Oryctolagus cuniculus: one gene and its partner. The protein of the gene in region 1 purifies or fractionates together with the protein of each later gene. This does not show direct contact. Links are inferred from orthologs where the notes say so. Each region holds a gene or a part of one and is shown on either strand. Other genes may lie near its edges. The genes, in order: SNRNP40 and DDX23.

Evidence for each region.
Region 2: the proteins of SNRNP40 (region 1) and DDX23 purify together in Homo sapiens (affinity purification with mass spectrometry; 3 studies listed by BioGRID and IntAct, counting the BioPlex papers as one, with this or other methods). This does not show direct contact. The link is inferred for Oryctolagus cuniculus from reciprocal best matches to the Homo sapiens genes SNRNP40 and DDX23.

Annotation. Positions count from the first base shown.
Region 1 is NC_091438.1:141,074,700-141,078,610, forward strand, and holds the start of SNRNP40 (U5 small nuclear ribonucleoprotein 40 kDa protein), read left to right. Parts: upstream 1-1,377; 5' UTR 1,378-1,442; coding exon 1,443-1,586; intron 1,587-3,470; exon of another isoform or gene 3,471-3,607; intron 3,608-3,911. UniProt on the Homo sapiens protein: Required for pre-mRNA splicing as component of the activated spliceosome. Component of the U5 small nuclear ribonucleoprotein (snRNP) complex and the U4/U6-U5 tri-snRNP complex, building blocks of the spliceosome.
Region 2 is NC_091442.1:52,328,875-52,332,785, reverse strand, and holds the start of DDX23 (probable ATP-dependent RNA helicase DDX23), read left to right. Parts: upstream 1-1,317; 5' UTR 1,318-1,467; intron 1,468-3,911. UniProt on the Homo sapiens protein: Involved in pre-mRNA splicing and its phosphorylated form (by SRPK2) is required for spliceosomal B complex formation.

The DNA of each region.
Region 1 (3,911 bases):
AATCTGCCCAATTCTCCGCAGATGCCCGGCTCCCTCAGTTCTCCTTGACGACATCTCTGACCGGCATCTCTGTACATCCTCGTAAGTGACCTTTCTGCATCCACTAGGGTCCCTCCCATCCCAATCTGCTCACACCACGAAGCCTGAGGGATCAAGCCACCTCTGCCACTCCTCCGCCAGGCCCTGCTCCCCAGAAAGGATCCTCAGCGATTTCCCAGCCCCGTCTGAAAGGAACAAGGACAGATTCCTGCACAGCCTCTACAGCCTCCAGCTTCACCCTGTACCGTACTCCCCTTCACTTCCTCCGTAGCAGCACACTGGCTCTTTGTGCCCTTGTCACTTTCCTTCCAAACGACACAGAACCTCTGCACTTGTTGCTCCAAATAAAGTGCTCTGCCTTCCTCTCTCTACCCAGCTACACTCCTTGCCTGTAGACAGCAGCACAGGCACGTTTTGCTCAGAAAAGCCTTTTCATTTCAGGCACTCGCAGCATCAGACTTCTCCCCTAGCACTTCCGTTTATCAGGGAGGTCGTTGTGTGGTATCTGTTATCCCCACCACACTGAGAAGCCCTGAGATCGGGGACTGCGTTAGGTTCAACGCTAGGCAGAGAGAATGCTAAGCCGGACAACCGCGAGGCCCAGGTTCACAGGTATTATATGTCAAATTTCTTCAACAAGACCACGATCTGGAGAAGGAGCCGGACATGTCCGTCGCCACTGCCTCTCGCGGGGCATGGAGCAGGCCCTAGTAAAAGACTGCAGAATCAGAGGCACACACACACGTCAGCCTCCTCGGCCACACAGGCACTGGCGGCGGCGGGGATACGAGCCTTACCCCCCTAAGAACGCCTGACCCAGGGCTGGCCGCAGCAGGCGCCTGCCGATCAAGGCAGCGGTGCAGGGTCCCAGGCATCCGGCGCCGTCTGCGACCTGCCGTCAGGGACTCCAAAGCTCCACTTCTGCGCGGTAAAGGGAATATTTACCAAAGCTGAGAATTCGAGGCCCGCCCCCCGCCCTTTGCTAGCAACACCTTCGGCTGAAAGGCAGGCTCAGGCCGCAAGGCTGTGGCGTCGGCTCCAGTTTAGAGCCATCAGCTACCCCTCAGCTACCTCATACTCACTTAGCGTCAGCTTCAGGTCTCCCAGCCGCGGCATCGCGCGAAACGCCAAACCCAGTCAGCCAGTTCCCACCCACAAGACACAGCGCGCCTAGGCGGGACGCCAGCTCCACCCACCAATCCTGAGATCACGCTCCCGTGGCGTCAGAAGGCTATGACCAATAACAAGAGACTATTCAGAGGGCGTTGCAGCGGGGAATGCTGGAAGCCGATTGGTTCATTCAAACAGGAAGTCCTGGAGGAAGGACAAAATCGGAACCAATCGCACGGCGCCTAGAGCTGTCGGTGTGGTCAGTGGCGGCTCTGAGGAAAGCGTCTGCCGCCATGATAGAACAGCAGAAACGAAAAGGCCCAGAGTTGCCGCTGGTCCCAGTCAAGCGGCAGCGCCATGAGTTGCTGCTGGGAGCGGCGGGATCGGGCCCCGGAACAGGGCAGCAGCAAGCAACGCCGGGAGCTTTGCTGCAAGCGGTAAGTGCGGTGGCACGCGGCGTCGGGCCCGCAGTTCATCTTCCTGCTCCCTCCGAGCGCTGCACTGGGCGGTCCGGCACTGGGGGGACAGGGGGCTCTACGTAGAGTTCAGGGAGCTAAACGTTGTAAGAGCGCCCGGAGCCCTGCGGGTGCCCCACACGTTTCCTCGTTTGAGGTCCGTTTGTTCGTCTCGTCTGCCCTGGGAGGGAGCGATGGAATTGGGGTTAATCTTGGGCCCACCGCTGAGACCGGGCCCATCTTGGGCGTCCTGCATCCACGAAGAAGTTGGTAGAGTGGGTGGACGAATGAATGAGGGCGGGAAGTAGATGATGCTGACTCGGATCGGGATACTGGGCAAGCTACTTAGCCCTTGTTTCTCTGCGGTAATGTTACTAACAACAGCTGGGTGATAGCGAACATTCAAGGATCCCTGTACCGATGCCTTGTATAGGAAATCTCCGTTAATCTTTGTAACTGCCTGTGGGTTAGGAACTGTTACCCCATTTTGCAGACGGGAAAACAAACTCTTATCTAGATGTTGAACTCGGAATCCATGCCCTTCACTCCATTTCTTGTAAGATAGAGACAGGGAGCACACCTCTCCCGCTTTGCTCGTGATATTGGCCTCTCAACTCTTAAACCAAATCCTTGTGGCATCTGCCGCAAAATATATCCGGTATTGTTACCACTTTGACGGCCTCCATCCCTGTCTCCTGGTCTGGCATGACTGTTGTGTGGTCCTCATTGGGCTTCCTGTTTCTGCCGTCTTAGGGACAGTCTGTTAACAATCCAGCAGCCAGAGTTGTTCTTCTAAATGTCAGATCACTTTGCCCTCTGCCGAAAACTTTCCAGTGGCTTTCCAATTCATTCAGAGTAAAAACCAAAGTCCAGGGGCTGGCACTTGGCATAGGAATGAAAGTGCTGCTTAGGATCCATTGCTTCCATTGGGTTTGACTCCGAGTTGCATTCCTGATACTGTTGCATCCACTCATCAGCTAAAACAGAATATTAGAAAAGCCAGTGACAGTCACACAGGAATTTTATTGAAAGTGAGAGGCAAGGTAACCAATCGGGACCGGTAACCTATTGGGTCTGACACTCCTTACCAGAGTACGGCCCCCAACAGTGGTTACACAGCTTTTTATAGTATTCTGTCCACTAGGGCTCACAATTTCCAACCGAACCTCTGGTATACAGTGAACAATAAAAAGAAAACCAGAATATGGTTGTAAGATAACAGTTAGCAATAACAAACCTGGTAACAAATCCAAGATGTGGTTGTAAGATAACAGTGAAGGACACATTTCTGTCAACCTAGTTCCTGGGAATTTGGGCCCACATAGTTTCACAAGATACACCCTTAGCCGTTAGCAGGCAAAGCTAACATGTACAGAAGCAAGAGATCTGCAGTTAGCTTTTAGCCATCTCACTCCATTTTGATTTTGACACTACAATACCATCTTCATGCGCATCTTGGGAGGCACCAAGTGATGGCTCAATAGTTGGGACGCTGCAACCCCCATGGGAGACCTAACTTGAGTTCCAGGCTCCTGGTTTTGGCCTGGCCTGCCCCAACTGTTGCAATCCTTTGGGGAGTGAACCAGCAGAAGAGAATGAGCTCTGTTTCTCAAATAAATTAAAAATTTAAAAAACACACAGGTGGCCAGCTTTGTGACACTTGGGATGCCCACATCCCACATAGGGGTGTCTGTACTCAACGTTTTCAATCCAGCCTCCTGCCACACATGTGGGAGACCTGGATTGAGTTACCAACTTACAGGCATATGGGAAATGAACCTGTGAATGGGAGTTTTGCCCCCCCATCTCTGTGTATATACCTTTCTGCCTTCCAAATAAAATAAGGTAAATAAATACTACTTTGGAGCATGGTAATGGATTTATGGTGGGCCCTTCTCTGTGGGCCTCTCATAGTGTACCCATGCCAGAGTAAATGGCAGCCTCGAACCATTGCCCAGCTTCCTTGTATGTGGACTGTGAGCACTGATGTAGGTTGCACAATGTGTAAGAATAAATAAATAAATAAATACGACTTTGCCTAATAATCTGTACCCTCAGATTGTTGGGAAGATCAGTCTAGTCATTCATTAAATGATCCAGAGACTGAGAAAACAGTGTCAAGACACATAGGCAGGATCCCTATACTCATCAAGCTTCATTTCTCTGAGGGGAAAGACAAATATACGAGCAAATACATGGGGAAGATAACTTCACTTAAAGCTAATTATTGTACTAGAATGCAGTGGAATTCATGAATTTTAGGTAGAAGGTGGGATGCTACTTAAATTTGAGTTATCATGGAAAGAT
Region 2 (3,911 bases), on another chromosome or scaffold:
CAAGCTAATGATGGGAAAACAAAGGAAAGAGGCCTTGGTTCGGCTTTAGGGGAAGAATCATGATCCAAAAAGACCAACAAGAAACAAAGTGAGCAAAGTGAGCACAGGATTTGTGATAAAACAGCTTCAGTGGGAGGCTGACACTAGGAAGAAGAAAGAGACCCATATAGGGTTCGGTGCTGTGCTGTAGTAGGTTAAGCCTCTGCCTACGGTGCAGGCATCCCACATGGGCACTGATTCCAGTCCTGGCTGCTCCACTTCCAATCCAACTCCTGCTGATGCACCTGGGAAAGCAGCAGAGGATGGTCTCCACTTGGGAGACCTGGAAGAAGCTCCTGGCTCCTGGCTTCAGATTGGCCTAGGAGTGAAGCAGTGGATGGAGAATCGATCTCTCCTTCTCTCTGTCTGTAACTCTACCTCTCAAATAAATAAAACCTTAAAAAAACAAACCAACACAAAGGTAGCCCAAAGACTGCAGGGGTCCCTACTGGAACCTGAAGAAAAAAGATGCATGGGGCCAATGCTGTGGCGCAGTGGTAAAGCCAACGCCAGCAGTGCCGGCATCCCATATGGGCGCTGGTTCGAGTCCTGGCTGCTCCACTTCCGATCCAGCTCTCTGCTATGGCCTGGGAAAGCAGTAGAAAATGGGCTAAGTCCTTGGGCCCCTGCGCCCGCATGGGAGACCTAGCAGAAGCTCCTGGCTCCTGGCTTTGGATCGGCACAGCTCCTGCTGTTGTGGCCATTTGGAGAGTGAACCAGCAGATTCAAGACCTCTCTCTGTAGCCCTGCTCTTCAAATAAAATAAATAAATCTAAAAAAGAAAAGAAAATGAGAGAAAAGAAAAAAAAGAAAGAAAGAGAAAGAAGGTGCCACAGCCCAGATCAGAGGATGAAGTGTTAACAGTAGGGGAGATTGGTGGGGCAGGTTGCTACACTGTCCTAAGCCTGGTGGAATTCCTCACGATAAAGAATTGTACAACTCTCATCTTATAAAATGGGTAACAATCTAACGAGATTTTTGCTTTTCCACAAACGGTACTTGTGGTTGCTCGCAGTAGCCCATCATAGAGCCATGCTATAGAAATGCAAAGCCTTAAACTCATACCGTGTAAGGCACGGGCCACGACGGTCGCTACCGTAGCTTTTGGAAGGCCTGCAGATTCCAGGAAGACTGAACCGCGGGAAGATCTGCAGGAACCCGGCCCACTGCTAACTTCCCTCGCACACGCCAAGCTTGGCGAACCACATTGCCCAGCAGTCCCTGCGGCCTTCGGCAGGCGCGGGCGCCGTGCATCCTGGGATTGGTAGTTCTGAGGGCCTTACTGTCGGCTTAAGCTGCCCAGCGCCGCGAACTCGCCTTCCCAGCTTGCCGCGCGGCAAGGGGGTGCATCTCGGCGACCAGGAAACGGGAAAGATGGCGGCTGTTCGGCGACGTTGAGGCCGCGTTGGGCGGTTCCGACTCAGGGTGGTGAGTTCTAGGCAGGGGAGATGGTTCCCTCGAGGTTGTAGAGAAGGCAAGTGTCGGGGGCATGGCTGTGGCCCCTGCCTCCGGGATGAGGCGCGGAAGAACGCCTCGGGGAAGAGGCGCGAGCCGGGGGAAATCTCAGACGGGCAGGAGCGCAGGGGCGCGGGCCCCAGGGGGAGTGCTGGCTGCTGGGGCTCAGGCCACGTTCTGGACGATGTTCCGGGCTCAGACCTTTGGCCGCCGGCACGACTGATTGTTTCCTGCCTCTCGTAGCCCGGTGCCGCAGTCACACTGGAACTTGAATTTTTCTCCCAGAAGCAGCCCGTACTTTCCCGCCTCCGTGCCGTCGGTATTATTAGGCCGGGAATTAGGGAGTTGTTTCTTTCCTTACCCATCCCTAAGGGATCAAGGGCCACTTTCTCAGTGGAGCCTTGCAGAAGTGCTTCTTCGAACTCCCCTACTAGTTCATGCGAGCCTGCCGTACTAGGATGGGTTCTCAGACCCTCTATTGTCGTAAAGCTTCTTAGGGATGGGACTTCCTGTTGTAACTCGCACAGTGTCCTGCGCTGTGCCTTATATGCGGTAGATGGTTGGAAAATACTTAACAGAATGGGAGTTGGGGGGGCGGGGAGACCTGCCCCGGCCGTACAAGAACGGAGGAACTAAAAAGTTCAGGAAATTGGAGAGGAAGGCTGCTGGGAGGCATGGCCGGAGTCCACTTGAGTTTCTGGTTTGCTCTGTGCCACTGAGACAGCTCTTGTCAAGGTCACAAATAATCTCTATTTCCCCAAATGCTGTACTCACTTCTCTGCCCCCTAATCTTTTTTTTTTTTTTTTTTTTTTTTTTTTTAAGATTTATTTCATTTATTTGCGTTACAGAGAGAGGCAGAGAGAGAGTGAGGTCTTCCATCCTCTGGTTCACTCCCCAATTGGCTGCAACAGCTGGAGCTGCTCCCATCCAAAGCCAGGAGATTCTTCCAGGTCTCCCATGCAGATGCAGGGGCCCAAGGACTTGGGCCATCTTGTACTGCTTTCTCAGGCCACAGCAGAGAGCTGGATCAGAAGTGGAGTACCCAGGACTTGAACCGGCACCCATATGGGATGCCAGCACTACAGGCGGCGGCTTTACCCACTATGCCACAGCGCCAGTCTCTACAATATTTCTTACTGCTGCTGTGCCTGACCCTTAAGTGTTTAGAGTGTCCCAGAACTTACTATGGGGTTCTCTTCTTTTTCTTTCTTTAACTCTACTTCCTAACTGGGTAATATCATTTAGTGCTCTGTGGCTTCAAAAGCTATGTACCTGTGACTCATGGTTGTCCCCAGACCCTCTGTTGAGTTCCAGGTTTGCATTTCCATATGCCTTCTGAGACTCCCCTCTTGGCTGTCTTATTACAGAGGTCTCAGCTGCAACCTGGCCGAAAGGAACTTTTGGTTCCGTCCTCAATCTCTTCCTTCCCCAGTCTTTGGTTGGTTCTCTATCAGCAACTCAAACTAACAGACTGTTCAGACCACAAATTTAGGAGCTATTTTCTTTTTTAAAGAAATTTATTTTTTATTTATTTGAAAGGCAGAGTTACAGAGTGAGAAGGAGAGACAGAGAGAGAAATCTTGCACGCACTGGTTCACTCCAGAAGTGGCCACAATGGCCAGCCTGTGTCAGGCTGAAGCCAGGAGCCCAGAGCTTCCTCTGGGTCTCGCATGTGGGTGCAGGGGCCCAAGCACTTGGGCCATCCTCTACTGCTTTCCCAGGTGCATTAGCAGTGAAGCAGCCAGGACTTGAAACAGTGCCCACATGGAATGCCGACATCACAGGCTGCTTTGTCCGCTGTGCCACAATGCTGGCCCTACAGTTTGATTTTTAGTTGCAGACATCTAAGCTAACTCCTGCCTCAGTACTTTAGTACTTGCTGTCTCTTCTACCCAATGAATTATTCTCCCTGAACAGATCTGGTTCTGTCTTTCCCATCATGGAAGTCTCAGTTTAAATATAAACTAAAAATTCTTTCTTGAGCCATCCATCTCTTGTTCATGTCACCCCATTTTATTCTCCTTGTTCATAACTATTTGAAATTCACTCTACTATATTGCCTTTTTTTAAAAATTTTTTTAAAGATTTATTTACTTGAAAGGTAGAGGGACAGAGAGGGAGAGCTACAGAGACAGATCTTCCAGATGTTGGTACCCATCTACCAAATGGTCCTGAGCACTGGGGCCATCTTCTGCTCCCTTTCTAAGAGGAGCCTTATCAGGAAGCTGACTGAGAAGCAGAGCAGCTGGTACTGGAACCAGCACCCTGATATGAGATGCCTGTGTTACAAGCAGCGGCTTAACCTGCTATGCCACAACATGCCCACCTCCCCTGGTTTCTTTGGTTTTGTTTGTGTTTTGTTTTGTTTGGAAGACTTAAGGCAGAAAGAGATTTTTCATCTGCTGGTTCACTCCCC